Linked DNA regions of Alligator mississippiensis. The protein of the gene in region 1 interacts with the protein of each later gene in a biochemical or structural test. Links are inferred from orthologs where the notes say so. Each region holds a gene or a part of one and is shown in the gene's direction. Other genes may lie near its edges.

The links.
Region 2: the proteins of PRKAR2A (region 1) and AKAP13 form a complex in vitro, tested with the Homo sapiens proteins (3 studies listed by BioGRID, with this or other methods). The link is inferred for Alligator mississippiensis from reciprocal best matches to the Homo sapiens genes PRKAR2A and AKAP13.
Region 3: the proteins of PRKAR2A (region 1) and AKAP1 form a complex in vitro, tested with the Homo sapiens proteins (2 studies listed by BioGRID, with this or other methods). The link is inferred for Alligator mississippiensis from reciprocal best matches to the Homo sapiens genes PRKAR2A and AKAP1.
Region 4: the proteins of PRKAR2A (region 1) and PALM2AKAP2 form a complex in vitro, tested with the Homo sapiens proteins (2 studies listed by BioGRID, with this or other methods). The link is inferred for Alligator mississippiensis from reciprocal best matches to the Homo sapiens genes PRKAR2A and PALM2AKAP2.

What each region holds. Positions count from the first base shown.
Region 1 is NC_081835.1:755,612-763,300, forward strand, and holds the start of PRKAR2A (cAMP-dependent protein kinase type II-alpha regulatory subunit), read left to right. Parts: upstream 1-4,675; 5' UTR 4,676-4,801; coding exon 4,802-5,063; intron 5,064-7,689. UniProt on the Homo sapiens protein: Regulatory subunit of the cAMP-dependent protein kinases involved in cAMP signaling in cells. Type II regulatory chains mediate membrane association by binding to anchoring proteins, including the MAP2 kinase.
Region 2 is NC_081834.1:12,429,457-12,437,439, forward strand, and holds the start of AKAP13 (A-kinase anchor protein 13), read left to right. Parts: upstream 1-4,968; 5' UTR 4,969-5,049; intron 5,050-7,983. UniProt on the Homo sapiens protein: Scaffold protein that plays an important role in assembling signaling complexes downstream of several types of G protein-coupled receptors.
Region 3 is NC_081837.1:6,728,496-6,736,409, reverse strand, and holds the start of AKAP1 (A-kinase anchor protein 1, mitochondrial), read left to right. Parts: upstream 1-4,897; 5' UTR 4,898-5,001; intron 5,002-7,914.
Region 4 is NC_081826.1:163,833,613-163,840,934, forward strand, and holds the start of PALM2AKAP2 (A-kinase anchor protein 2), read left to right. Parts: upstream 1-4,306; 5' UTR 4,307-4,629; coding exon 4,630-4,674; intron 4,675-7,322. UniProt on the Homo sapiens protein: Binds to regulatory subunit (RII) of protein kinase A. May be involved in establishing polarity in signaling systems or in integrating PKA-RII isoforms with downstream effectors to capture, amplify and focus diffuse, trans-cellular signals carried by cAMP.

The sequences.
Region 1 (7,689 bases):
ACACTTCCAGTGAGCTGAGAGGCACCAAATCAAATCTGACAAAGGTACAGGTGCTGTATATAACTTTGGGGCTGCTGTGCTCTGACTATTGCTGATAGCATTATCCAAAGTAACTGATTTAACTGTATGTATTTACTTGCTTTTGAAGTCTGAATGGTTAAACTGATTATTTTCCAAGTAAAAGGCAACATAGATTATTTTGCTACTTGCCTTGTAACCTTGCTTCTCTTATTGGAAGCCTGAGTAATGCATCTCAATAACAAATGTCAGAAAGAGCAAGTCGGTGAGTTGGGAAAAGAAGAGAGAGATGTTAAAGTGTGGGGGTCTGAAATTAGGAACAAGATGGAAGAAAGTGTATTCAGGTATTAAAAAGACCTCAGAAATATTGCTGTAGAAAAATGTTTGACTAGGGGAACCATAGACAACAGCTGAAATAATTACACAACTCTGCATTATCTCATTGTGCTATTCAGTGCACAATGAGATCATGTGCAAAGATACCTTTAAATACCTCCTTGCATGTAATAGAGGCAAAATTAAGATTGCAAGGGTATTTGCCAACTTCTTGGTTCTTGATTTTTCAGCTTTGGCATCCTCTCTCACCATATGGATTCTTCTAATGACAAAAATCTAATATAAACTAAGAGAGGTTATTTAAGCTTTAAAAATTTGCAGAGTGGGCAGTACTACTTGACCATGGACAAGTCTCTTGTGCAAGCTTGCTATCAGTCCCACATCCACAAATAAAAAAAAAGTACAATGAAATGAAATAAACTATGGAATAAAATGTGTTTCATGTGGCCTTGATGCTCACCGCTTTGTCCACTGACCTTCAGACAGAAGCTAAACGGACCTAATGTTTATGTGCTAGTCTCCTTTACAGAATGTTCTCTGTCTGAGGCTGAGTTGCTTTGTATGGACACTTGAACAGTCAGAAGGCTAACACAACATAGCTTTTCAGAACCTTAACAATATTTACCGGCAGCACATTTTTCATATAAATAACCAGATTTATATACACAGGGACAAATGAGTTATAATTATCAACAAACATTCAGAGCTAGTACAAGAGCTGACTAGTGCCAACAGCAGGGGATAGCCAGGTGGCTGGCTGCTGTGCAAGAGACTTGGAAAGAGAAAAAATGTTACTCCCTTGGAACAGCAGATTCCTTTTCTTTCTCTGCTCTTATCCGCCAATGTTCCTTCCTCTCTCAGTGTGTCCAATTCTCCTCATCCAACCTTCTTAATAGTAGCACTCCTGGCACATAAGTGTCAAAGGACAGAGAGTCTCATTGAAAAACCTCATGTACTTTGTGTAATTTTGCAGGGAACCCAAAGCAGCCTCTTGTTCTTCTTACTCAAGGCCACTTGCCTTGAACCCTTATATTAGCAGTGTAGGTATAGTTACTAGGCTGGTGCAATATGTTCTGGTATCAGTGAGGAGAGATGATGGGATATGGCAAAGATATGCCAGAAAAGTATTCTGCTGCTGGTTGGTGCCATAAAGGGTGTAGTGAAACAGTTGCTCTCAGATTTCTGAGATTTGTTACATCTTATTTTTTAATTAATTATATTTAATATTTGTACAAAAAACCCTTACCTTACACCAAATTATGGAAGAAGCATTATAAAAATAAATTTTGTAACAGAAACACTAGGTGCAGTATAAATACCAGCAGATTTCTAATTAGCTTCTCTCTCATTCAATGGAAAAGAAAACCAGCAAAAACTGTTAATATGGAGATCTGGTGTCCTCACTTGTGCTTTTTGCACAACTCTAATGATAAGTAAAATGCATTTAGCTGCATGGGGATGGGTTAAGAGCCATCTGGATGAGACGGGACCTATTCGCAGGAGGAGCAAACAAAAGCTAATACACATCATAAATAGCTTTGGATAACACTGAATTTGTGTGAAGCTCATAATTCAAACACTTGTTGATTTCTGTTCCCTACTATTGTTGAAGCAAAATCAGAACAAAATTAAAGTATTTACATTGACATCACTCAACCTGCTCTCCTTCTTAGTCATAGGTGAACAGGCCAATTTTCTTCCCATACTGTAACTCCTCAATACGCTCAAGTTATAAGGGAAGACAAGTGCCGCACCTTGCAGAGGGTAGTCACTGGTTGAATGTCTGCCAGGCCTTTAGTGTGCATATAAATAGATAACAGTGCTACGTGTGTATGCCTTGCACAAAGAACAGAAATAAGAATTCTGTAACTCAGAGAATAGAGCATTTAAGGAAGGAGACATTTAAGGCAAAGTAAGGGCTTTATCAGAGGCCACATAGTAAGTAATTGGCAGATATAAGACAAAGCATCAAAACCCACTGGCTCCCAAAATTATGCTCATTCATCTAGATCAGAGATGTCAAACTCATCTGGGGCGCTGGGCTGGATCCAGACCACGGGGTTCTTTGCAGATCGGATCCAGCCTGGGGCAGGAGAGCTGCCATAGTGGCAGTGAGAGGTTTGGCGGTGGCAGCAGATTCAGGAGCGCAAGTCCAGGGGCAGGGGTGGTACGCCAAGCTCACCGCTGACAGCCACCCCAGCAGGGACAGAGGGCTCTAGATTCTGCAGTAGGCTCTGCCCCCTAACTTCCAGTGGCCAGCCAGTAGCCCAGTGGGCCAGACGGAAGATCCACAGGCCAGATCTGGCCCACAAGCTGTATGTTTGACACCCTGATGTAAATCAATGTTTCTCAGTTGACTGGATCCAACAGGTAATCAGGGGGGTCACAAGGTATTGAAAGTATATTGCTGTCTACTGTAAGGAAAATGATAGTCCACAATTCCCTGTATACCAATTCCCCTCAAGGTCAAGTAGTCAGTCAGCACAGCCTTTTCAGACATTTTGGAGACCTTTTCAAACATGTCATACAGGTTAGCATATTGTTATAGATAAGCTAATAATAAGAACAACAAAATGTAAGGGAATTATGATTTTTTTTTTTTACCTTCATGCGAAGATTTGGATACCCGAAACAATCCAAAAACACTGAATTGGATCAGTTGATTTAGCCTTTTTTTCCATTTGCGGACCTCTACAAAAATTTTGAATGGAGGTGTGAACCCCTTTGAGTTGTAAGTGTGAGTACTCACATACTTTGGTTGATTATAATAGTCTTTCACAGACCCCTTATATATAGGTCTGCAGACCTCGAGGGGTCTGTGGACCACCGGTTGAAAACTGTAGATGTAGAAGCCTCTCAGCCTCTACTCTACCCGAGGTGCCTACAATATCTTAAAATAAGTTTGAGTTTCCATCAGTAATATTCTGTTTGCTAGTGTATAAAGGGGTCAGCTTTATTCCATGTTCCAAAATACTACTACTACTATTACTAAAAAGATCATTAATGACAGCCAAAAATATTTCTAGATATACAGTTGCAGAATACATTTCTAAATCATTCCAATTGCTCTTTAGAAATATTTGTAGCCTTTAATCAGGATGGATGGAATAACGCAACATATATTTGGCCAAGAATCTCTCTGTTGCGACTTCACTTCAGTACAGTTATATCATAAGTGGACGGGCACAATCCATTCCTGGTTATATTGCTATTGGAATACTTCTATGAGATCTGAATGCTAGGATCAACCTCACTGCACCTGCCAAGTCTTCTGCCCCACGTTGTTCAAAAGTTAAAGGCCGAGTGTGTTGTCACCAGCGCACCGACAACACGCAGGTTGCCATTGCTGACTTCAGTTGAAGAGGGATTCACTTATTTCTGAAGTGCTGTGCAAAGGCCTTCCACAAGGGCAGACTCACGTTTACGTTTCTACCAAATGTCACACTGGGTTTTGCAAACAGCACAGTGCCTTCGCTGCCGTCAAGAGGAATGGTACTGTAGTGGAGCTCAATTCATCTACAACCCCCACATTCACAACCTGCCGGATGTTTTCAGTGAAGGGATAAGAAACGAAGACGACTCACTATTTAAGAAATCAGCATTAGGCTTCAGAATCGGCACCGGCTGTTCTGCGCGGGGTCTGAACCGCCTCTGGCCAAAGCCATTCTGCTGCCTCCAGCACCTGAGGGTCTCACTTGTCCAAAGCTTTCCTTTTAACTGTCAAGGCTCATTTAAAAAAAATGAAACAGCAGGGTGCAGTTGGAATAAGCCAGCGGGCCCACAAGCACGGGCCATGTGCACCCACAGCCGCACGGTCGAGGACATGGACACGCTGCCTCGACACCTCCAGAAGCAGGTGGCAGTGGCCGTTTTAGAGGCAAGGAAGCAAGCTGCAGTGCCTCCAGCCACAGCAGGACACTGGCAGGCGGAGCACTGCAGGCAGCATAGACATACTAGCACCAAGGAACATGCGCAGAACTGAAGGGGCCCAGCTGGGCCCGGGGCCGCGAGGAAACTTAACAGACCACCCTCATCAACCACCAACCACGCGACCAGTTCCCGCGCTTTTAGCCGCAGCCCTGTGCAGGCGCACTGGCCGCCTCATGCCCCGCCCCTTTCCCCACACCGAAATGCGCATGCGCTCTGCTCCCCCTCCCTCCCAGCTCGCCGCGCCCCTAGGCTCTTCTCGCACTGTGACGCATGCGCACGACCAGCCCTGTCATTCCACCCAGCTCGGCCGCATGCGCGGCCCCGCCCCTTCCCGGGCCCCGCCCCCTGCGGCCCGCGGAGCATGCGCCTCGCGCCCCTCCCCCCGGCGCGGCTCGCGTGACGGCGGCGGCGGCGGGAGTCAGTCGGCGCGAGGAGGGAGGCCGAGCCCGCGCCCGCGCCCGCGCCCAGCCAGCCGCAGGGGGAGAGGCGGCCCGGCCCGGCCCGGCTCCGCTCCACCATGAGCATCGAGATCCCGCCGGGCCTGACCGAGCTGCTGCAGGGCTACACGGTGGAAGTGCTGCGGCACCGGCCGCCCGACCTGCTCGGCTTCGCCGCCGACTACTTCAGCCGCCTGAGGGATGCCCGCGACCAGCAGCAGGCCGCGGCCGCCGGCCGCAAGGGCGTCAACTTCGACGGGGAGCCCATGCAGACCGAGTCCAACGGCGAGGGCGAGCCCGAGCGCGGCGCCGACTCCGACTCCGACGACTCCGACTTCGAGCGTAAGGGCCGGGAGGGGGAGGGGGCGGGTGCGGGAGCCCCTCGCCGCCGGCCCGGCCCGGCCCGGCTTCCATCGAGCCCCGTGCTACCCCGGCCGGCGGCTGTGGCCGGCGCGAGCGCGGGGCCGGGCAGTGTCGCGCTGCGCTGCGCTGCGCTGGTCGGGGCGCTCGGCTGTCCCCTCTCCCCGCAACTGCCCCGACTCGCGGAGCCCAGCGAGACCTGGCGGGCCGGGCCCGGCCCACGCGTCTCACCGGTGGAGCGACGGGCCTGTCCCCCTCACCTCTCCGGTGTCATGCTCCCTGTCCACCGGCCGGGACCTGCTGGTCGACCCTCCCGGCCGGGAAGGAGGTGGTGGCCGGGGGGCCCCTGGGGACCGCGGGGCTGCTTTCCTCGCTCTGCTTTGCTCCCGGCTCCGAGCGGAGAATCGCTGGGCAGCGTCTGCTGGCTCCTGGCGCTCGTTCGAGGGCCAGCGGGCGCTGTCCGGTGTGCTCTGCCCCGTGCCCCCCCCTCCCCCGGCGCTCTGGTAACGAACCTCTGACCCCCCTTCCTGTCCCCGTTCTCACGATTGTGTGTCCCAAGCATTCAGTAACACGGCACTAGTGGCCCCCAGTACTGCAGGGTGTTTATAGTTTCCTTGGCGGGCCGGGGCCCATTTTTCCTCCGATGTGTTAAAAGCCCTGTCCCGTGGCGGCCGAGTGGAGGCTGCAAGGGAGAGCGACCTGGGTCTGACCAGGGTCTCGCTTGCAGCCTCCAGCGTTTACAGTGGAGGAAGTTCTGGTTCAGTGGCCGTGCCCTTCCCTTGGTGCTCCATAGTGACCAGTGCCCCTGTCCTCCAAGCGCGTGTCCGATCCCAGTTTGAACGTGGCTGAACTGGGAGTTCGCAGCGGGTGGCAGCGAGTGCCACGCTTCAATGACACGCTGCGTGAAAGAGAACTTGGTCCCAGAGCCGTAGAGGAGTGGGGCTGGAAGCGACCTCCAGAGGTCATGTAGTCCTTCTGCCTGCGGCAGGATCTGTCCAAACCATGGTCTGAACTCTGTGCGAGACTACTGTCAACCCTGACACCACACGCCTAACAGCCTCGTTTGTTTTACCAGCCACAGGAGAGGTATGGCAGCCAACATCCTGCTGCTGTGAAATGTTGTCAGTATCATCTCAAGAGGTCCCGGGTAGCCTTTCCTGTTGCTAGCTTCAGGTGAAGCTGGGGCGGCTCCTGCTATTTGTTTCCTAGCGTTCTTTGCTACCCCCCCTTTACTTTTGTTGCTCTCCTTTGGCTTGTGTTGTCCACGGCGTTAGAAGTGGCACTGTTGAGGGCTCAGTCCTGCACCATTATCACTAGGAAATGAGCAGGGGGAGAGGGGGTTGGGTCTGGTGTTGGGAGCTTCAGCTCGCTGGTTCTTCCTGGAAGAAAAGAAAGCGAAGGTGTGGGGAGTGGCCCAGGGACAGCCAGAATGGTTGTTAGGGCACGACTTGAGGTATCGAAACATGAAATGCACGTCATGCTATGTATGCGGCTGGAAGGGTCTCATGCTGCTGTGCAGTTTGTGCAGTCCTGAGCCGCAATGTGGTCATTCAAGAATAGTTATAAACCCAACACTTAGTTTTTCTTTGAGAATGATCTGGGTGCTTGATGGTTTTGCTGTGCAGTTTGGTTGCAGTAACCCACTATTACAAAAATGTGCTGAAACAACTTCCTTATTTTTATCCTTAAAGGGCAGACATTCTGAACATTTCATATCTTTTTCCCCATTTACATTGATGCTGTATGTGGGGGAGAGGTGGTAAACACTTAGCTGCTCCTTAACACTGGAACTGATACCCTTATAGTTTTATTTTTGTTCTGCAGTGATGTGTAGTGCTTTGTTTGGGTTGGAAAATGCAATGTTTAAAAAGGTTTTTGTTGAGCTTCAAAGAAAACCAAAATGCTTTCAGAGCTTTTTGAATAGCACTTTTTAATAAAATCAGAGATTGAAATATAAACTATTTGATACTTAATGTTATTCTTAATCTTGAGTTAACTAAAAAAAAAAAGGGAGAAAAAAAGCATTTTCTGGATATTTATGCCTTTAAAAAGTAATACACTCTCCACTCCCACTCATTGCAATGTTCAGTTGCCTTGCTTTGAGGTCATATCTCTTTGACATACAATGTGAGTAAAGGTTTATGGCTCTCTTAATGATATTGTGAGAGTGCTTTTATACCAGTTATTAAGTGTCATCTCTGGATGCAATTTGTTTTTGCACTATGTTCTAGCTCTTTCAGATGTTAATGAAACAGCAGCATATTAAACTTCAGGACAGGCTTTGAAATAGCCACTTAGGGCAATGTTTAGAGACTATCATGGTCCTCTTAGGATAGCCACTGTAAAAACAAAGACAGACAAAGTTCTTCTTTGAGAAATGTATAGTTAAGACAGGGAATTGGGAGGGAAAGCATTTAATGTGGCATGATGGCTTGCAAGTGTTGTGAGTTCTGGCTTTTTGAATGTTGAATTTTAATTTTTTAATATTTTGTGGAGTAGGATATTCTGTTTTGGGACAATAGAAAAATAAAGTGACAGCAGACATTGAAGAAGAGGGAGGAGAATTGAGTGAATGAGGTTAAAGTAGTGACCAGCAGCAGCCTGTCTG
Region 2 (7,983 bases), on another chromosome or scaffold:
CTACTGCATGATCTTAGGTGGCTTACTTAGCTTCTCTCTGTCTGCCAGAAAATTGGCCATGCTACTAACCTACCTAGCAATGAAGTTTGCAAAGCAGCCTGAGACCCTCAGAGACCACATGCCCTCCTCTAATTTACCCACATCACAAAATCCCTGCAATTGGCTCACTGGAGAGTTACAGTTCTCAGCGTACAGTACTGCTAGTCAGGGTGGAGGCGGCTGATCTTCTCTGTCACCGTGGACTTTGTTGTAGAGATGGTTATGATTAGGGGCAAATCTCGCCAGCCACCTTACCAACTTTGTCTCCTTGTGCTCAGTGTAGTCTTTGAAAGTATTTTCAGAGGGTGTGTATGTGAACGTGCGGAAAGTGGAGGGCTGATTAGGTACTGTGTGCTGAGTATCTGAGTACTAAAGTAGAAATACTCCCATGATAGAAATCTTCAAGGATAAAAATAGATTGTTCTTATACATGCTATGGAAAGTGTAGGCAGCTGGCATCAGTTACCATGCCATTTTGTTGCTATTGAACTGCAAGGTCATGTGTTTTACATGGGGAGGGCCGACCTCCATGGGACACAGGTGCTACAGGAACAGGGTTTCACTTGGTGGCACTCTTTCCTCTGAGTCAATAAAGTGGCTGGGCAACATCCTGGCTCCTAGATGAAATCTAATAATGCAGGTTTCCTGGGAGCTGTTAAAGAACCTGCAGATCCTTTTTCACAAGAGTACGAGTATTAACCCCCTTAGCCTCATCAGACTTAAACTTGGGTACCTCCCCATAATTTGCCCAACAGCTATAGTTTCATTTGGAAGAGGGTGTTTTTCATGTCTGGGTATGGAACACTGCAGGCTATAAAGCAGCCAATGTGTTCAAGACCCCAAGGGCTTGAACACATTCTTGTGCTCATGCATTGCACAAGAATTTTAACCCTTGTTCTACTTGGTCTCCCATTTAAATGATGTTTTGCTTTTGATTTAAACAGAAGTGGGATCCAGCCCAAAGCTAGTAGATCACCATAGGAATATGTAGCCCACAAGGAGCATTTTTCATCAGTACTTCTGAAAACATTGGACAAAGGTGGTCAGTGTTGCCATTATCCCCATTTCATAGCAGGAGAAGCTGAGGCACAGCAAGGTGAAATCATTTACCTAAAGTCATCAGGCAGCCTAGTGGCAGACATAGGAATAGAACCCAGGTGTCCTGAGACGCAAGCCAGTATTGTATCTGGTAAGCAACACTTTTAGGTGCGTTACGCCGAACACTGCTCTAAATGAAGCAACACTGCACAATGTTAGTAGGACTAAGAGATGGGAAGTGTGCTGTGAGCCTTAGGTCTGCTAGTTTCCTCTATTTGCACAGTAGGAGCAATCAAGCATGCTTGGCCAACAGGAGCGTAGTGAGAATCTTTGCAGAAATAGAGAGATGAAGCCTACTTCCAGTGTGTCAATAAATCCAAGAAAGTGGATGCTTTTTTTCTCTTTGCAGGGCTCCCTTATGCAGGGTATATTTGAGAATGCTGTGGTACATGCATGCCACTTTTATTTGCACAGGATCAGCTTCTTTGATGAAGTGTGTGTGCCAGAAACACAAGAAAGAGATGGTTTATAAATGCTAGAGGGGGGAAGGTTAGAATGGTAGCACAAAGGGCCCTGTACACCTAAAGATAAGCTTTAATGGGGAAAAGTCTTGATTTCATATACAAAGAAATCTACAGTTTTAAAAAGCTGCTTGTGTCCATTGAACTCTGGCCCAGAAGCACCCTGTTATGAATAATCAGACAAAGCAGCTGAATAAACAGGAGTAGCTCAAACACGGAGAAACATCAAGGTAAAAGGCAGGTGATGAGATTCACTTGAAGACTCTTGGTGGAATCAGAAGGAGAGTCCCCAGGTCTTGGAAGACAGGCAGTGAATCTCTCTTCACAGGCTGGGAAAGAAGCTAAAAGTTATTCATGAAAAGCAAGATATTTTAAGTTGTTTGTAAAACCACTGCACTATAGAGATGAATATGTGGGGCATATCCACCCATCAAGGCATGGCACATCCTGAAGCAGGTGAAATGTAGGCACCTTAGCGCAGTGCTGGGTGCATGTGCCTGGAAGCTTGCTCTTTTGAGGTGCTTTATTATTGTGGTGCTGGCATCTCTCAAGAGAGCAAGCTTGTTAGTGTAGGCCTAGCACTGCGGTTTCATCTGTTCCAGGGAGTCGCCTGTTTGAAAAATGCTCTTACGTGCTCCTTTGCTGTAGAGAGCCCCAAAGCATCACTATTGATGTCAGAGAACGTGTGCTGTTTCTGTCCCAGAGGAAATGTGGACTGCTTGGGACTTATACGTTCAGCTTTTATAGCTTTGAACGTGATCCTGAGCTACACACAAAATTCCCCTCCTTTATTTGAAGGATAAATAAAAAAATCACACTTCACCCTCAGTCGGTTCCATTAAACCACATTCCCTCTGCCTGCCAGTAAACACAGAGGGAGCACTACTTCTGCATCCTTAAATTGCATGTCAGTGCCAGTGGTAACTCAATTGAGTGAGGTAAGGAAAAAGAGCTGTAATGTCCCATCACTTCCCTTGCCCCAGAGCTGATAAAAGTGACCGAAAACCTACTAGATCAGTCTAGAGCAGGGGTGGGCAATTATTTTGGGCAGAGGGCCACTTACTGAGTTTTGGCAAGCCATCAAGGGCCGCATAACAGGCAGCTCAGGGCAGATAAATATTAATTTTCCAAAGTCTTGAGGCCCCGCAGGCTGGATAGTATGGCCTGGCAGGCTGCATCTGACCCCCGGGCCGCATTTTGCCCACCTCTGGTCTAGAGAGATGAGTATGTGGAGCATATCCCTTCTCAAAGGGAGGCAGATATCAACCCTGTGTGTCCTTGTGTCTTCCAAGTCCATGAAGCACCTCTGTGCATTTGGTACCTAGGCCACTGTAGTCTCACTGTAAGTTAATACATTTTTCAGGGAAACATATAGAGGGGAAGGTTTCTCCCCAGTGGCAAAACTCCATTTCACCTCACTGGGGCTGTCTGGTAAGCTCTCCTGTTTTTCCCTTCCAACCCTGAAAATTGTCGCAGAGGCTTCATGGACCGTGGATGTCACCCGATAACTCTGGATTCAAATGTTTGTCCAATGTAAGAACTTTCTGGGACAAAAAACTGAGATCTTTGTCCCTCCCCCCGGCTTAGATTTTTTTTTAATTCCAAGAGGGCATTTCCCTTGATGAGGAGGACCTGAGTAAGAAACAGGTAAAATTTTCAGGATTAAGGCAGTTGAAAAAGTAGAGTGGTCTCCAGGAGGATTCCCCTCCCATAGACAAGAGACCACTCTTTTATGATATTTTACCTTGCGCCTGAGAAGCGTCAGATAGAGCATAGGGCTGATGCCTTATTCAGGTCGTACTTGTCCAGGTCCAGCAGTGCAAAAGGAGGCATAAAGCTACTGCGCAGATGCAGCTTCCCAGCCTTTGTCATCAAGAAAATACCTTAATGGCATACAGCTAATGCAGGCAGAGGTGGACCCCTCTCAGCCTCCCTGCTCACTAAGCACCTGCTGCAAGGCCTGGTAGGCAATGCCTGCATGTGATTCTGGACCCAAGGACCAAACCTGTTCAGGGCTGTTCTAGATCAGTGCTTCTTCACCTATTTTGTACCAGGTCCCATTTGTAAACATTGATGGCTGCCCCTCCCCAGCCCCTAGTGTCTGGGGCAGGAGGTGGCTGTGGGGCAGGGTGTGTGTGTGGGGCATGGGGGGGCCCCAAGCAGCCCCTTGCAGATAGAAACTCTCCCAGCCTGCAAGGGAAAACCCAATTTCCCACATTTTTCTCCTTTAAAGTAGAACCCATTTTTAAAGTTTGCTGATCCTTTTTAAAGTTCATTCAAGACTCTTTCATATAGTCTTGCGACCCACTTTTGGGTTGCGACATGAACGACGTATTCAACAACAAATAGGTAGAGCCCTTTTCTCTCCAGCACCACCTTGGGTACTAAGGAACAATGGTCATAAGCTGATGGAGAATAGGTTTAGGTTAGAGATCAGAAGGCAATATTTTACAGTTAGGGTGGCCAAAATCTGGAACCAACTTCCCAGGGAAGTCGTCCTCCCCCCTACCTTGGGCAAATTCAAGAGGAGGTTGGACGATCACCTGTCTGGGGTCTCGTGAACCCAGCCTCCATTCCTGCCTGTGGCAGGGGGTCAGGCTAGATGATCTGTTCAGGTCCCTCCTGACCCTAGCTACTGTGAAACTATGTCCCCGGCGGCCGGTGTTGGGAGCATGGTGGCTATAGCCGGGAGCTCCCGCAGACACCGCTGGCGGGTGGGTGGGCTTTTTGCAGGGGGTGCACCGCCACACTCAGAGGGTGCACGTGCACCCGCATGCACCCCCTACACGTCGCCCCTGGGTTGAGAAACACTGCTGCAGATGGCACGGAGCGGAGCAACCTCCCAGCCGCTCTACTCTGCGCTACCCAGGGGACACGGTGCTACCGGGCAGGGACAGGGGTAGCCGCCTGCAGGCTCCTCCTGCCTCAGCTGCTGCTTTGTGTCAATTCATTGCACGGGGAAGCCTGCAATTTCCACCCTGCCAGGAGGCGCCAAGCAGCCGCTGCACAGGGAAGGGGCAGCTGCGTGGGGCGAAGGCCAGCTGTGATCTGGAGGGGCTGCACCCCGGGGCAGGTGTCTGTACCCCGGGACAAGCCAGGCGCGGCTCCCGGACACCGGCTGCTGCTTCCTGCGCACACAATAGTTGCAAGTCGGCGGAGGAGGCAGCGCCCCGGGCAGCGCGGCCTCCCCCCTCCACGTGCTCCCCGCATTCGAAACCCGCCCCCTTCCACCGCTCGGCTCCTATTGGCTGCCGCGCCGCCTCCTGGCACCTCAGTGAAGCAATGGCAGCGGGCTCCCCAACGTTCGGGGCGGGGCCAATTCCGCCCCCTTCACTCCGGCCGGTCGGCGCATGCGCGGTGGCGCGGACTCGCTGGGAGGGCGGAGGGAGGAGGCAGCGCGCGAGTCTGGTCCGGACACGGCGCCGCCGCCGCCCGCAGCAGCCCCGGCCCGGTGAGGAGGGCGCCGCGCCGCGCCGCGTGAGGGGCGGGAGTTGGGCAAAGTTGGGCTGGGTTTGGGGTCTTTAGTGTGAGGGGTGTTTAGGGTCACGTTGTGCTTGGTGTCAGGGGGTGTAGGGTCAAGGGGTTCCTGGGGTCAGGAGTCCAGGGGTGCTTGGGGTCGAGGGGGTTTAGGGTCAGGGAGTTCTTGGGGTCGAGGGGGTTTGGGGTCGCCCGGCTGGGGCGCAGCGGGTGCCCCCGTGTCCTGCTGCCCGGGCTCGGCCCCGTCCCCTGCAGCCCCCGGCTCGGCCGCGGCGCTGGGGGTGCTCGGCCGCCCCCCAGAAGATGCAGCTTCCTCCGACCGGAGAAGACGGGCGTTGCTCAACATCGGGATCTGGGGTCGAGCCCAGAAAGTCAGCGGGACCCGGCCGGGACCGTCTGGCCCAGGCGGTGCCTCTCCAGCAGGCGCTGCGGCCCCCGAACAGGGGCGGCTTGATTGCCTTTCGAGGGGGCTGCGGCGCAAGGGAGGTCTGGGGTGGGATCCCCCACTGTGAAAAACATCCTGCTCTGCTGGGGGCTTTCCCTGTTCTGGGCAGCAGGAAAACATCGCTCTTTTGTCTGTAGTTGAAAAAAAAAAGTGAGGAGAGCTGGCGTTTTCCTTGAGGTGTCTCGCTTCTAGCGAGGGGTGGCTCCGGTCTGGGAAGGGGGCCTCGAATGTGAAAAGGTTGCGAACCGCATCAGCATTCGGGTCCGGACAGGCCGCGGGGTTGTCGCGCGGGGTCGCTGCTCCCAGACGGGCTCCCCCTTCGCTTTTCCTCCAGGCTTGGCTGCAGCTGCTCAGAAGTAACTTTTTCTTTTGAGAGCGGTCTGAGGCGCTGTCGCAGCGAAAGTGCTGCTGCGCCCGAACTCTTAAGCCACCAGGGTTTATTAATCCACCTTTCTGTAGCCATGTTATCCCTGCAGGTCATACAAAGGAGTTGGGATTAGCAAGAGATCAGTGTTACTGACCTCTCTAATTGCTTCTTCTCCAGTGTCCTGCACGGCGTCTCCCTTATGCTTTTCTTCTTTACATTCAAGCCTTTGCAATGTTGTGGTTCTGCAGCGATGCCATCTGCTGTGGTATTGCATCCCTTTACTGAGGTGCAGGTATTGAGGTGGTAAACAGAATATAGATGCCGCGGTAAACCAATCGGTAGCATATGTTGCTTGCTTACAGTCTTAAAGGCAACCGTGAAACTCAAAATACATGCTGAGATATGTGATGCAGTAGAAATATGAGAGGCATGTCGTCTATAAACGAAGTCTGGACAGTTGTCCTGGGTTGCAGGCGTGCCTTTTGTGCTGTGGGTCCAGGATCACGTAATATAATCAGCTGCGATGGGACAAGAATGGTGTGGTTTCTGTTTACAATAACTACTGAAGCTTGAACTCGGTCCCTCTCCACATTCTTCTTGTTGTTTTGCACACACTGGCTTATTGTGGGCCTGTTAGGGTGAGTTAGGCTGAAGAGTCCTTTTGGAAGGTAATGATTTATTAATTTCGCGCTGGAGGACATGTCCCTTGATATTACTCCTATTCACACAGGGGCTGATGATCTTAACTCCGGTCAAGTTGTCGTGAGGGGGACACGATTTTCTTCCCTTCCTGGATGGGAACTTGACTCACAAGTTACTTGGTTGAGGTCATACAACCATTCTGCAGCAAAGAGGGGAGCTGAAACCAGGCAGGAGTTTCAGGGGATGCTGCTTAGGTACAGGACCATCTTTTTTGGTTGGATGCTCTGTTACAGAATGATTGTCCCAGAGGAAATGCTAGGCAAGCTTCTGGGTCCATGTGCCTGCAGGTAATCTTGATGCAACAAACTATGCAGTGTGTTTTTTGTGTAGCTGAAAACAGTTTTGTCGTATTGGTACTTTGCATACACAGCTTGGCAGCAACAAAAGATAGCCTGATCTTACGTACATGTGATTGGCCAACACCCACTTTTTTTTTGTGTGGCTGGTGATTTGGGGTACAGTACTATTTTGAGACACCTTTAAATCAGTGATTTTCAACTAAGGTGTTGCAACACCCTGTGGTGACACAAGATCCCTTTACGGGTACTGTGTGATGCTGCTTAATATTAGCATTGTTAGGTTTACAAACACCTATACACAATTCACCAGATAAACCCAGAGATTTCCAGTAGGAATCCATAGTATCAAAATCATTCTTACTTGTTGTGGTCTTTCCAGGTGTTTTACAGGTCAGAAAGGAGTTGAAAGGATTCCTCTAGTATTTTTCTGCAGTTGAAAAAGTACGAAAGCTAAGAATTGGTTGAGGAGTGCTTTTTCTGAGAAGCTCCTTGAGTCTAATGAGAGGTACCTTCTGTTTTAAAAAGTTTGAGAAATATTGCCTTGACAGCTGAGGGATGGTCCTGGGATTGGGACGTGTAAATTTAAATCCTGGCTCCATCAGAGGCTTCCTCTGTGATCCTGCGCTGATTATTTAGTCTTTGTCTCTTGTCTGTTTTGTAAACTGAAAATAATAGCATTTCCCTTCTTTGCAGAGGTAACTGCGTTGGGCTGAGAGGTGTTCTGGTACTATGGTGACGGGCATTAGAAGTACCTAGGCTTGGCTTTTCTTTAGGGTGTGAGATGAGTGTCACATTAGCTGACACATCCATTCACTGTTTTCTGATAGTAGCAGTAGTGGGGCTATGGCTAGAAACTTCACTAAAACTGCCAAATGAATCACTGCTGCAGGTTCCAGGGTTCTGTGTGCTGGTTTCCTTAGCCATCTCATCTTTTACTGTCTTCCATTTCTGGAGCATTGAAGGTCTTCTGCTGTTGTAGATGGGAGCTAAAAACAATATCCCTTCTTAATCTGGGGTGTTTCTTTACTTTGGGTTATTTCTGGTATGGGAGAACTGTGGAAATTGTGTTTTAGCAGATGATACAGTGAAACCAAG
Region 3 (7,914 bases), on another chromosome or scaffold:
GAGAAAGAAGTATAACCTGCTCAGGTCCTTTTCTAGTGGGATCTACAGTGGGATTTATCTGCATCTTTAAGCACCTAAATCCCTTTAGATGCCTTTGAAAATCTGGCCCTAGGTCTTGTCTTTCTTTTTGAGTTTGAATAAACAAGAAGAGGAAGGTAAAGCCTGAGTTTGCTGCACAACCCAGCAAATTTCTCATGTTGACCTGGCTGAAATACTCCATTTAAGTTTTGTTAAAAAACACATTCACATTTATAACCAAAATAGTTAAAACTTTGAAAATACATATGCTTGTTTTTTTTAAATAATTATATACGTTTGTTGTTGAAGAACTATACCCAAAATGCATAAGTTTGTTGTTTTAGTTAACTAAAACAATGCACATGTCACCATTCAGGTTTCTGATGTGGCTGCAAAAGGGATCTGAAAAAAATATCCAAATAAATCACTCCTTTAAAATGTATAGCACGTACTTTCTAAAAATGAAGCCTACATCTATCTCCGAGTTGTGAATAATATGCATTTGGGTTATATCAAAGAACAAGAATGCACTTTTTTGTAGAAAATGATTAAATCGAGACTTCCTGACCAGTGAATGAAATCATGATTTAAATCATGGTTTAAATTGATTTGACTTAAAGCAAAGCCACCCTGGAAAGAAGCACACATGGAAAGTACTCCAAACTCCTATGTGAGTGCTTGAGAGGGATCCAAGACTGCCCTGCTGGGATTCAAACCGGTGGCCCCAGGGTCCCAGAGTCTGTCAAATTGGATGCTGACTGTATTTAGCCAGCTCCTATTTTGCTGTGAAGCTGTACTGCTTTGCTTGAAAATGTTCAGGCCTCCTCTCTGCTTCCCTAGTCAGCTCATTTCTGCTGTCTCTTAAAGTGCCCGAGCTTTCTTCCTTGCACGCTGCTCCCCTGCAGCGTACCCCAGCTCTCCCTTCTGGGCAGCAGAACAGGCTACAAGTCGTCCAAGTCTCTTTGCAAACCCACAGGCACCTCTTGCCAGGCAGAGACATCCAATAAGTGAAAGCATTTTCTTTTTCGTTGCTCACAGCGTAGCAGCAGCATTGTCATTGGGAAAGCTTTGCTTCCTAGATGCAGTGGCTGTGGCGATAGTGGCTCCTGGAGCTCCAGTTTGAACAGACACCGGCTTGTACCCTGGTCAAAGCCCGTTTAAGCATCACCTTGGTTAAGACTATTAATTGCCAGTGTTTTGCTGGCACTCGTTCTTATTGCTGCTCCCTGCGATGCTGAACCAGTGTTTATGCAACGCTGAGAGGGGCGAAGCAGAACGCTACTGTTGGCACAACGATCTCCATTGCCCAGAAAAAGGCTTCAACTTTGCACAGCCAGAGACCTTGTTACAGAATGATACCACCTGCCCTGCTCACAACTGTCTGGTCTTGCTTGCCCCGGGGAACATCGTCCTTTAACCCCTGCTGCCCGAGCTCCCCGAATTTACGCTGTTATGTTTATCCCCATTTTTCTTGCTGTTCGTAAAGGCTCCAAGACATCTGTTCCTTGACAGTAGTGGGGAATGAATTGCAAGTTTGCACCTTAAAGCATGCCACCTGTGAGAGCGACTCTCACTGCAATGACCCCTTACTTAGCACTGCAGGCTTTCTATGTTATTTAGGAGTGGGGGGCACAAGAACACATCACTTCCAAGCCCCTCCATAAATGCAGGCCATGCACCACATAGAGTCCAAAGCCACCCGTGCCTGGGTGCATGGTTTTATTAACACCGCAATGAACAGCAATCCAACATAAAGTCCCACTCCCAGGCTAGGTTGCTCAACCCCATGCCCTGTGCTCGCTTTCACTTCCAAACCGATAGGCTGCTCAAACTGCTGAATGACTTAGACCTTTGCATCAAATTTCCCCAGCATATGGCACGTCTAGCTTTGCCCATATTCACAAAGAAACGTGACCCTTAGACTCTTTTTATGCTATTAAGGCCTGATCGAATATACCCTTTTTACACAGAGCCATCTAAAGCAGAGGTGGTCCAGCTTTTCAGCAGCTTCTGGCAAAGATCAGTGCTTGTTGGCACAGTGCTACTAAGATCACAACCGGGAGATCCAGTTAATGGCTGCCAGCAACATTTTATTGTTTACGGCTGCTTTCATGACAGAGGGACGCTAAGTGTGATCTCTTCACAGTACGCTGTGGCATTTTTAGAGACATTGGTATCCCTATTTCTATATGACGGCCATGGGAGCTGAGTCAGAGAGCGTGCGATATATCCCAGACCATGCACAGATTAAGACGTTCACTTAGGTTAAGGTGTGAAGGAACCAAAAGGATCGTCGGATCTGCCCTCCTGCATAATGCACAGCAGGAATCCCCCCCAACCAATTCTGTATCAAGCCCATGATTTCTGTTTGAGCTAGAAGAGAGGTGCTCAACCTTTTGGCCCCACAGGCCAGATGAGTGGCGCAGTGCTGGTCCATGGGCTGGATCGAGCCCCACAGGGCCTCGGTTGTCATATGCACGGCGGGATAGGGCCCTGGGGTCTGGTGCTGACCCTGTGCACTGGGATAGGCACCCCCCCTCGTGAACTGGGACCAGGCCCTGGTGGTCCATGCTGCGCCTCCGCGCAAGAGCACAGGGGCACAGTATCATAGAAAAGTTGGGCTGGCAGGGACCTCCAGAGGCCACCTAGTCCAACCCCTGCCTGAGGGAGGCTCATAAACCATCCCGTACAACCATAATCTAAACCAAATAAAATCCCTTAGCTAGCCGAACCTCACCTGCGGGCCATATTTTACCTACCCTGATCTGAACTACATAAGATGACCCTTAACTATTCCACTACACCACTCCTTCCCTGCCACCAAATGTTGGGTTTGTGGAGAGCCCCCGAGGCTGGATGACACCGCACCAGGAGCCGGATCTAGCCTACGGGCTGGGGGCTGAGCACCCCTGAGCTGTAACGTGTCTAAAAGGAGACCGAGCTAGATTTCGAATCCAGGACATACATGCCAGGGCTGTGACCTCCAGCTTGTGCTCAGACCACATTTTTCCCTCTACATTTTCAACATAGCATAATTTTCCTCTCATCTTGAAAGCCTTTGAAAGGTAAAGATGGTTTTGTTGCCCTGGATGTTACCGGTATAAGGGGACATTACTTAATGGAAACAAACTGGCCTGAAGCTAAAAAAAGTAAAATCAACAAACCAACATTACTGCGGTTTAACTCTTAGGTGGTGCTTTACATCCCCTGAACTCAAAAGCACTTGACAGAGGAGTGGGATCTCTACCTTTTTTTCCTACAGAGGAAACTAAAGCAGAGAGAAGTGACTTGCCCGAGGTCAGGCAAGGCAAACCTCGCAGCAGGACCCTGATCTGAGCACTGTTCTGGCGTGATAAGACAGCGAGCCAGGCTGCCTTTTCAGCATAAAACACCACAATCCCCACAGGGCCGTTGTTGGTCGTGATTGTTATTACTATTAAAATGTATTCCAGTCTCAGTCCAAATCCAAGAGCCGATTAAATCCCCAAGCCAAATGAGCAAAGCTCAGTAACGATGTCTATACATATTCACGGATCTTCAACCAGGCCAGGATCCTACATGCAAGTGCCAGACCTACAGGCCTGGGAGCTCAGGGCCCGTTATACTGGATCTTAGACAAAAGGCTAAGCAGCAATCCTCACGTGCCTTTCTCCCTGTGGAAGTCCTTTATAGATGACGGTCGTCGTGTCGCTGCTGTTTCAATACACTCAGTGCCAGGGGGAAATGCCGCCATCCTGTCCCAGTGCAACTTATCACCGCTGGCGGGTTACGAGAGGAAAAGGGAGTGTGCATCCTTCTGCAGTACAGGGCCTGGCCACACCGAGTACTGGCTTGCTGAACATGGATTTTCCTTTGAGGTTTCCCCTACTCCTCCCACGGAGCGTGCCGAGAGCGGGGACGAGAGAGAGACGCTGCAATCCTGACTTCCCCGAGCAGCAGCTTGCAGGCACGCGCAGCCTAACGCTTTGCGCGACGTGCCGAGACGTTGCTGAGCGCTCCTGCAGTAGGGACCAGCTCCGTGTCAGGACCAGAGGGTGACTTGACCGGGTGCGTAGCTCAGTGGTTTTGAACCAGGACGCCTCGAGATCCTTTCCAGCGGGCCGGGGAAAGCCGCGCGATGTCAGCACTGTCACGCGCGTGCAAACCCGATTCATAGGCTTTGCTCTTCTCAGGCAGGAAGAAGTTAAAAGCCAGTTTGAAAACCTATCCGCAAACTGGACAGCGTTCGGTACGGTTTGAGCAGGGCCGACAGAGCCTGGATTTGCTTGTGTGACCCTCCCGTACCCCCCTCTACAGTTACAGTGTTATACGGCTCGCAAGTGTTACAGATACTTGTAACTCTACAGGTCACAGTGTTATAATTGTTACAAACACCTGGAGAGTTACAATACAGGTTACAAGTATTATACAGTTAACCCCGCAATGCATTCAGACCGCCTAACGTTGCCCACGCAAAGTACCGATCGCGCCAGAAAAAGGTGCATCCAGAGCTGGAAAGCGTGCGATAAAAAGGCACGCCTTTCATTCCTGTGTCCACCACCGCAGGTTGCATCCTTACGCCAACCCTCCTGCGGCCCCCGCTGGGGCGTAGATCAAGGGCAAGGTGGGGGTGGGCAAAGGGAGGACATGGAGCACCCCCTTCTCCTGGTAAATGGGGTCGTCTTGCAATCGAGTAAGTGACATTTGCCCTCGCGGGGGGCTGCTGGGGGGGGGGGATGGGGGCACTCCCACCCCGCCAGGAGACGGGCAGTGCGGGGCGCATGCGCACACACTCCCCTCCCCCCCACCCCCAGCTCAGCGGGGGCGGGCCCGAGTCTCGCGCGAGGCGGCGTTCTCGCGAGAGGGGCGGGGCGAGTGGAACCTTGTGCCGCGGGCGAATGTCTCAGAGTTCGGCGGGGCTCGGCCGGGCGGCACGTGGGCACGGAGCGGGGGCGGGGCGCGGCGCGGCGCGGCACGGCACGGGGGAAGAGCACCGCACGGACCGTGAGTACCGCCGCCGGGGCAGGGTTGCGCCGTTTCCCCTCCCCGCTGGCGCTGGGGGCGGTCAAGGTCACGGTCACCCCCCCACACCCATCCCCGTTGCTTTGGCTGCGGGTGCATGAGCTAAGTGAGCCCCCTTGCCCACCCTCTGGGGGGATGGGGCTCCTCCTGGCCCCCCAGACCCGCAGCAAGGCGTGGGGATCCCCCTCCCCAGACTCCCCAAGAAAGGAGCGGGCCCAGGGGTCCCTGGTAGATGCTCAGCCCAGGCAGCGGCGCCGCGTGAGCGCCGCCTCCACGACCGCGTGCGAACGGCTCCTTCGTGGAGGAAACCCTACGCCTGGGCTACAGGCGCCCTTTCGGCGGTGATGCAACCCCACCGAACGCCGGGGCTGCGCGAGTAAAGACTCGCCCGTGTTTGCACGGCGCGGGCAGGACGGCACCCTCTGGGCGCCGACAGGCTGCAAATTAGCTAGCGCCTCTCACGTCCTTGCACCACCTCTGCCTCCCTCGAAGGCTGGCGTAATGCTGGAGGATGTGCAAAGCCGGCTCGGCAACACTCGAGCGGCTTGGCTGCCCGGGGGGAGTTGTTTCGTTCGAGTTGCAAGTTGAACTTCTGTCGGCGGGAGGTAGAGACGCGCGCCGGCTCCGAGTTGAGGGCGTACGATGAGGGGTCTGCGAGATGTGTCCTAAGGGCCTGTCTTTTCGTGGGTGCTTTGCTATCCGATATCCTAAATCACATGTTTCTCTGCTGGCCACGTGTTCAGGAAGACCGCAGGGTGCGAGAGTGATGGCAGCACTGACTTTTCAACGCTGCAAGGGCCAGCCTGGTTTGTTTGGAAGGCGTTGGGCTTGCTGATGTCTGGCCGGTGTTATCAAAAGGCCTGTGGACTTTGCTTCTGGGGAAAGGAAAGGACCTGTTGCTGGGGAAAGTGATAGGAAAAGAGGCTAACTTCACGTCTCCTGTTTGTTTTGTGTCTGTGAATCATCTACTCTGAGCCCTAGCCGCAGGAGCCGGGCGGTGAAATGGGAAGGAGAGAGCATGTGACCTGCTGGAGCATGGTACAGCTGCTCCATGAAGCAGCGTGCCTTGTCCTCTGCGGAGAAGGCGTCTGAGCAGCGCAGGGCTTGGGAGTGGTGATAGCCGCTTGGCTGCTGTGTGACCTTGAGCAAGTCGCTTGCTCTTTGTCCCCTAGCTGAGCCATTTGCATAATGGGCGAAATACCTGTTGGGGCAGCTGCTACACCTCTGCTCTTGGTGCTTTTCAGTCGGTGAACTTAAAGCACTTCAAAGTATTTTTACTTTTTTTTAATGTTACAAGCTCCTCGGGCTCGCATGCAAATTGCCGAAGCGTGGTTGTAATTGCATAACTGACTTGCATTTCGGTACCAACCCAGTGCAAAATTCAGAGCGGGTCCGAAAGATCAAACCCCAGTCTCAGTTCTTTGCTGACTGAACCGCAGTCACGAGCCCCTCCGCTCCTTGCTGTGTATCGAGACTTCCTATCCTGACACCAAAATGCCGGCTCCCCCCTGCTTCCATTTCTGCTGTGGCGTTGCTGAGTGCATTCTTTGCAGTGCTTGTGAAAATCCTCGTGCACCTTTAGTGCTCGCGGGAAGAGCTGGCTCGATGGCCCCGCAGGCTGGGATCTGTCGTCTCCGGTGTGGATAGGAGCAGAGCATGCTGCCTTCTAACCTCTCGGCGTCACCAAGGTTGTAAAGCCACCTCAGTCTCCTGATCGTGTCTGCTCCAGCTGCCAGCGTGCTGGCCGGTTGGCTTGTAAGCTTTTGATCCAGACCTTGTAGCTCGCAGCATGCTCATTCGGCACCTAGCACAACAGGGCTGCGGCCTACCAGTACCGCACACGATCTGGCTGTTGCTCTAGCCAAGACTGGAGTTCAGCTGTGCTGGGTGCTTTGCAAACACCTAGGAAGCATTTTATTTGGGGTTACGGCCCGAGCCCAGCCTCTTTTCTTTAATGTTTTAAGGATTTAAGCTGTGTGTAGGGTGGTGGAGGGAAGTTCAGATGCACGGACTGTAGTGGAGCATAATTGTTTTATTGGTACTAAGTGATGTCCGCGTAGGATTTTACAGGGATACCGATGTTGCAGAATACTTTCAACTCTAGCCCTGTTTTATTCTAGGTTACAGTTGCAGTGATTTGATTTGATTTGTTTTAAGCTCTGTTGTATGGCTGCAAATGCAACAGTTTTATTATCTTAGCTAGTGTGCCCTCTTCTTAAAGCGGTTACGAGTTATTTCTGCTCATAGCCTGAGTGTGAATCTTTGAGAAGTGCTCAAGGCCTCATTGAAATTTGTAGGATTTGGGCACCACAGTGCCTTTTTGGGTCTGACCTTACGACTCGAAGTCACTGAAGTGCTTGAATCCCTTTTGAGAAGGGGGAGTTGGGGGGAAGGTTACCTTCAAGGAGGTCCTTTGAAAGCAGGTACCGCTTAATGGCAGGATTTCTGTGAGAGGAACACAAATGTTGTTTAATGCCACAGCCCTATTTATCTGCAGCTTTCATCCTCCCGGTGCCCTTCCCTGCTGTAAGCCATACACTTATTCGGGTAATTTTGCTGTCTGTGAAGCTCTTGAATAAGCAGATGTGTGTTGCCCTTTGAAATGCTCTTTTCAATCGATAGAAGTAATGAAACACTTAGATGGCTAACAGGGACTCCTTGATTTCCTATTTAAAAACTGATGTCAATGATGAGCTTTTCTCTGTCTTTATATACATACAACCAAGTATCTTGTCAGGAAGCAACTGGTCATTTGAGGTGCCTTTTAAAAAAAACCTAGACACTTTGAGGGCGAGTGCTTGCTATTTCTAAGGAGTTGAAGCGTAATTTTAGGTAATGCATCCAGAATCTGCTCTGCCCCAAAACTGCGAGCTGTCTGACTGTCCAGGCTGGGTT
Region 4 (7,322 bases), on another chromosome or scaffold:
CAGGCGGGGAGCAGAAAGCAAGAAGCAGAAAACATAGCAGCAGATTAGGTAAGGGAAAGTAATTGGAGTGGCACTCAAGGGAAAGGAGGAGGGTGCTAATTTGTGGTACACTTGCCAAAAAGGTTGGTCCCCACTGATACAGAATATAAGTGGTCATAGGTAGTAATTGGAAGTCAACTCTGGGGAAAAACCAAAGGAATAAATGAGGTTAGACATGTGCAGTAGGCACATGTACCAACAGACACAAAACTACACTGTAGGTATTGCTGATAGTGCTACCTATACTTCAGGTTACCCAAAACTTTCCTTTGTAAAACATTTTTTGGGGTTTTTTTGAGTGCCTACAGTTTTGCAAGATTTTATGAGCTGAAATTTTCCAGGCTTGGTGTCACCCTCAGGCTGAAATTTTTTTGAACAGTTTCAGCAAAAATAGTTTGGACACTTCCAGGAATGAGCGAGAGAAGAAAAACTGATGTTTTTTGTTTCTGTTTTTAAAACAGTCATACAGCTGCTTCATTTAGAAGCTCTTGCACTTCCACAGTGTGGGGAAGGGACTTGAAATACAATGGAGGGGTCAGCAACCTGTGAGCCATAGACTGGATCTGGCCCACAGAGCCAAGGGGGGACTTCAATGGCATTCCAGCAGCTGGATGATTTACCCTGGCACTGCAGCCAGGCAACATGGAGCTTCATTTGACATCTTGCCAGGCACTGGAGAAGTGGGGGTGATGGCAGTGGCCAGGTCCTAGCACTGTCTCAGCTTGGACCCAAGCAGTCATTCCAGCCTGCCTTTACAAACAGTTGCCAACCACTGCAGTAGAGTATTGACCTGGTATAAAGGAATATGTATGTGCCTTTGGCGGTTTCCCTGACAATTTATTCAAAATCATCAGATAATAAATCTTTGAGGATTCTCAGTTCAGACATGCTCAGCAGAGATTTACTAAGAGTTTGGTGCTAAATTAACCAAAGATTCCATCCATGCTGGTCATGCTTTAGCACATAGCTGCAGGACTTTCCATGCAACTGCTCCTCTTCATTGTTATGGGACTGATCACCACAACTCGGAGCAGGGAGACAATCTGTCCTTTGCTATCAGTGCCCCCGGCACTGGTCCTAGCACTTTGGAGAAACGTGAATTGCTGGAATTCAGAGGGAATGGAAGCCAAACCTTCACATGTGAAAAGGCAGAGGGAGGAACTGGAGGAACAGTGGGAATAGAATAGAATAGTAGTGCTCAACCTCTGGTCCTGGAAGCCACAGTAATTCATCATCATCATTGTTTCCCCAGTCCAAATTTTACATGTGGTCTGCGCTCTCTCTTCTGCACAGGCCACTGCTGCTGATTTTGGTATTCCCAAATGTTGTGGGGTGCCTTGTGGTGCTATAGGGCATCTCAGAAGATGATCCATGGCTTGCTTCTGACAAATGCGTTGGTCGGTTGTATAGATGTTGTACGCACAGGGCGTACAATGTGAATTAAAAACAAGCGGGAATCTTATCGGGGGATAAGGCACAATGCCACATTTATTGAAAACATAAGACAAATAAAAGAAATGAAAAAAAACAACATAAAGATACTGTTTCCTCTTCATACACTGACACATACATATCCATTTATTCACATACATACAAAAGGAGATGGACAGGCAGTCCTGCAAATATCAAGATATTACCAGTTCTTAAGATGCTTGGGTTAGCTTGGCCAGCTAAGTTAACCATGAGAATAAAGCCAGGTCTTGTTGGACGCGTTCTGATGCTGATGCTGCTTCTGTGCAGGACAGACCCAAAGCCTCTTTGTTCTTGTCCATCTTTATAGTGATTGTTCCCCATACAAGTCTATGGGTCCTACTGCATCATCTCCTCACTCTCGAAATGATCCTCCTCTTTGATTACAATATTATGATTGACAGACTCTTCTGTCTCTGTAGTCTACAATTTTTTTTTATCTGTTGTCAGCAATTTTTTCAGCCATTGGAACAAAACCATTAGCTTGTATTTTGTAATTCTTAACTGTTGATCTTGGACATTGTTGTAACCTTTGGTTGTTAAATCGCAGAAGGCTATTTCTATCCTTCTAGCTACAGGTGCAAGACAGACTGTCTTAACATATGCATTTCCACATGTACTGTTTATTCTTTCATTACTTCTTTTCAAATATCCCAGACATACCACAGGCCTTGCATACACACCACTTCTCTGATACTATATTTAACCTACACAACCACAAAACAAAATGACTGTTACACTTACACTAAGCAATGTAAAAATCAAAATGGAGTCTCAACTAAGACTAAGTTACAGTTATTTGAGCAAACTAAAATGGATATTGGTTATAAAATAATAATAAAGAATATTATAAAGGCAATATCAAGAGTACATAAAGACAAATTAACTTTAGCTCAACATAGAGGCCCCGTGATCTCATAAGAGATTTGCATTGGCCAAGACCCACTGTCAGTCTGTTTAGGCTCCACCATGTGTGCCATTTGTAATTGGAGCCAGATGCTAACTCCTCGCTGGGGATAATTCCTTGCCAGCTCCATTCAACAGTTTATTGCCTCATTTCTCCCATTCATTTTGCCAGAGGGTAGTTCACAGCAATTAATACTACCCCCACCACCACATTTCCGGATCTGTGGGGAGACTTATGGGCTGGATGATGCAGTCCTGCACACTGGATCATGCTGGTACATGAAGTCGTACCTGCTGTCTGACTCTACATGCCAACTCCGTGCTAGATCTAGTTCATTGTTGGATTCCACCTGCAGGATCTGACCCATGGGTTAGCTCTGCACCCCTTATCCAGACCACAGAGGGATTGAGCAACACTGGATTAGAACAAGGAGCCACTGGCAACATTAGAGGAGATTAGACTGAAAAGCCAACAGTGGGAGCCCATGGGCTTTGTAATAGAGCTTTGGGAGGCAGGGTAGTGGGGAGAAATAGCTCAGTCGGAACAAGGTATAAGAGAATTGCCCTCAACGGTGTAAGGAGAATGATTCAAGGATCAATGAAGCTCACTAGCATTGTGACCTAAGCATGGGGGTAAAGATTAGGACTTGGACAAGACCTGACTGGGAGACTTGGACTTGAAGGGCGGGTTAGAGGCAGGACTGGGAGCAGGGCAGGCTGGTTTGGCTCTATAGAAACTCAAGGGAACTGAAGATTCCTGAATATAGGCATGCCTTTGCCAGTGGCATGTATGTCTGAAACTTGGTGGTTTCCAGCCACTCTTTTGTCCTGGTACACCAAGTGGGTGACAGCCTACTACTGCTGCCAGTTCTCTGTCAGCTAATGTGAAAGTCGTCTATACCAGCATTTCTCAAGCCATGGGTTGTGACCCAAAAATGGGTCGCAAGAATATATGAAAGGGTCGTTAACAAACTTTAAAAATAGATTGTCCTTTAAAGGAGAAAAACGTGGGAAACGGTGGCTTTTCTCTTGCAGACTGTCAGTGTTCCAGCCCTCATGGAGCTGCTTGGGGCCTCCATGCCCAACACACTGCGGGGGCTGGGGCCTGGAGGAAGGGGCAGAGGGTTGGGAGTGGGGAGCACTGAGTCAGGATTGGCCATTGATGTTTACAAACGGGTCCTGGCAAAAAACAAAAGGTTTAGAACCATTGGTCTATATGAGTATTTGAAGTCTCCCTGCTGATGAGCTAGTTGTGTGATGATGAATACACATTCTTTCTCTCTCGCTCTCTTTCTGCATTAAAATGTTGCAAGTCAAGCCCTCAAAAATGAGGAAATGCCAGAATTAAGACTGCATCTGTGATCCCCATTGTGGGTATACATTGTGGTGTGGTCTTTAATTACATAATGATATACTTCCATTTCTGATTGCTTGGCTTTGCAACCTTGACACTCCTTTAATGTAGCACTTCAGTATGTAAGAAGTATGAGCAATCTGTGGGCTCCGTTTTCCTTCCCCTCTGAAGTATCCTCCTGGAGAGCCACCACTTTAGTGACTCTTTGTATGTGCTGTATTATTATAGTTGCAAACTATTGTGCTGTAGTCTGAATGCACAACTGTGTATTGTTCCCCTCTAGTCCCCTGAGCTATGTCCTTTTCTCTGGCCAAATCAGTTTAGTTTTTCAGCTTCCAGTGTGAAACTCTTTGACCTCTGCTGAAATCCCTGTGCTCCCCCTACCCCTGTTTTTCTAGAGTTCCTCATTAAGGACATGCTGCAGTACAGCCCTCTCCCTCCTCTACTGCATTCATGCAGGTTCTGATTACTATGCATGCTACTGATGTCAACTCCTGTTGTGACCCAGCACTCCATAGGAGGAGCAAATGAGCTGAGATGTCAAGCCAAAAAATTATAGCCATGAGAGCTATCCCTGCACTCAGCTGCTTTCAGAGCACATACATGGCTTGTGTGACAGCAACAGCACACAGAAGCAGCAATGAAATGCAGTTAGCTGTACAGCTGGAAGACAAGCAGGCAGGCACTGGTCCAGTGCCTAAAATGATCCTACCGTGAGCCAGTCTGCAGTGCCTCCAGAAGTGCTTGACTACTACACAGGAACACAGCTTTCTTTGCAGATACTCTGTGGCGTGTAACTCAGTTTCCCTTGGTGACTGCAGTGTGTATTTTCTCTCTTTCCCTGTGTCCTTTTCTCCAGGATGGCGGAGGCAGAATTGCACAAGGAAAGGCTGCAAGCCATAGCAGTAAGTCAGCTTCATTTTACTTGCTCTTTTGTCTGTGAATGGGAAGCTGTGAGTTACTGAAGGGTCCAGGAATTCCAGCACAGTAGCTGGGCAGTATTTAGGCAGCATGGCTTTAGAGAAGTTTTGCATAGAGGTTTTTTGTTGGTTTTTTTCCCCCTCTTCAGGAAACTAATGGTTAAAGATGTTCTATGTGATTTTTGCCAGTAATGAGAGTTCTGATGGGAGTGTGTTTAGCTGACGTGTGAAAAATGTGAGTGCAGGATGGCACATGATTAAAAAGGAGAAATACCTGGGGAGGGGGAGATGGGAGCTCATCAGCATTCTGCTAAAAAGGTATTAAGGTACCATGCGAGCTTTAGCTAAACAGATTAAGAAGTTAAACAAGAAGGATCAACCTTAGGGTGGCTTTTTGTATAAAGAAAATCTTTCTTATTTTGCTTTAAAAAAAAAAAAAATCAAAACAGTGGGTTATCACTAATCACCAGACTAGCTGATTTGCCAGTTTGAGACAGCAACCTCCATTGCTTATCTTAATACCACCCAATGCTTTGAGCCAAATCTTCAGATGATATACATCCATTGAAGGAATCGGGGTGGGGCAGGGGGTAAAAAAGTGTTGCATTTTGATCGGCATTCATCAAAACTTTATTTTTTTCCCCCCTGTGTTTAAAACCTGACATATACAAAGCTAGAATCTCAGCTGATGCAAATGGCAGGGCTCCTTTTGACTTCAATGGAGCTATGGCCAATGAGACCAGTGAAAGGATCTGATACAAGTCTTTCAAAAATGTAGCTGTGCTGCCAATAGAAAATAGAACTGCTCTTTAATTAGGAGTGCAAGTGACATCAGAATCCCCACATTGCTACAAGCATTGTTTATTCACTGAACCCACATAGGTTTGTCCTTGTTCCTTATGACATTCAGTTTTTGGGGTTGTTTTTTTTCACCTGGTTGACAAGCTAACACCGCAAAGCCTTGTAGTCAGACAGCACAATATGTGCAAGTGACTGTGTGTCTCAGGTCTGAAGTGAAAAGTCAGAAAAAATGCCAAAGCCTGCTTGGATTTTGGGAGTCCCTTCCAGAGTGTTGTCAATGATCAACAGATGTTGTGTTTTACTACAGCTGCCACAGATGGATTATATATTTCCTTTGTAGGCGGGGCAAGAGAATGGCTGCTGCTTCTGCTATACTAAGTTGTTTTTCTTAGGTCTATTAATCTACTAATATGTCCATACATACTTAAAATAACTGGACATAAACTTTTGTCTTTTAAAAGTTTTCCTGGAAAAGATCATGTGTGGGGAAAAGGTTATTATGGTTTAAAGGTAAACAGCTGAAATGTTTTTAAAACACTGGTCCAAAGTTTCCAACAGGTATAAACATTAAGAATTCCCCCGCCCAAAGTGCAAGCAGTAGTGCCTGAAGCCATTAAAGAACTAATCCTTCCTAGCAAATTTGGCTTTGAGGCTTTGGATCCTGAATGTGAAGGGTGAATGTTGCATACCCACAAAAGATATAGCGGTCATGTGTGAGGATTTTGAAAATGACTTTATCTTCATATAAAAAACTGTAGAATATAATTCTGATGCCTCATTCAGACCCTGAATAACTAATGGTAAACCAAATTTCTGTGCTCTGAATATATTCTGTATTGCAAGAGCGAGCTGAAGAATGGCACTATCTCAACAAACTTTTCCATTGTCTGGCACTTGTCATAGTTATTCATAATCAGGAAACCAGAGGGGATGCAAAAATCATTACCCTATATTTTTTTTTCATTACCCACTGGCATAAATAACTCTCACATGTGAAGAATAGTAGGCAACTTGGATCCTTATATTCTGTACAGGCTACATCACAGATTGTGCTGAGTGCTGCTGTTAAGGATTAACATAACCTGTGAATTACAAAGGTTTGAAATAATTCAACTTGAACCTCAAAAAAATACTCAATTTCTGTCTTGTTTGAGTTCATATTGTATCACACACTAAAAGTTGCTCAAAGGATCTTCATATCAGTACAATTATCCATACAAACTTTTGGGGAACATTTGTTCCTCTATTTAAATATTTTAAACGTAATCATGGTTGGCTATTCTCAAATGTTAGATTGATTCACCAGGATAGGTTAATGGTGTGAAATGCAAGGTATTCCTCCTGTGTCTCCTGTCTGAAAGTATCCTATATAATTAGCAGGCTCAGCAAAACTTAAATCGTTTCTCAGAAAAAGAGAGGAGGCATTGCAGTTAAGGTCCATCTGGAAAAGTCAGGGAAAAATATTAGTCATTTCCAGTGTCTGACTCAAGCAAGCAAAGATCTATTAATCCACCTTATAATTTAGGCTGGTTGAATGGAGCAAGAAAGTAAACAATCCAGCTTTGCACAGTTATTTAGTTTTCTAACTAAGTTCACTTGGTCGCTTGTATTTTCTTATGCAGACATTTCCAGTAAAGGTCAGGTGTATCATATTAAAAGAAAGCAATGGTCATATTTGCAGTTGTGGAGAATTCCTGCCAGAAGTGTGAGAGGGCTTCTGTCAGTCAAACTGTTGTGGTTTTAAAATTACAATCAACTTCTTAAAAATGGGTGTCTGTGGTGCCAGTCCTGTGCAGACTCCAGTCCTGCACAGGGCCAGGAATGCCACTAGG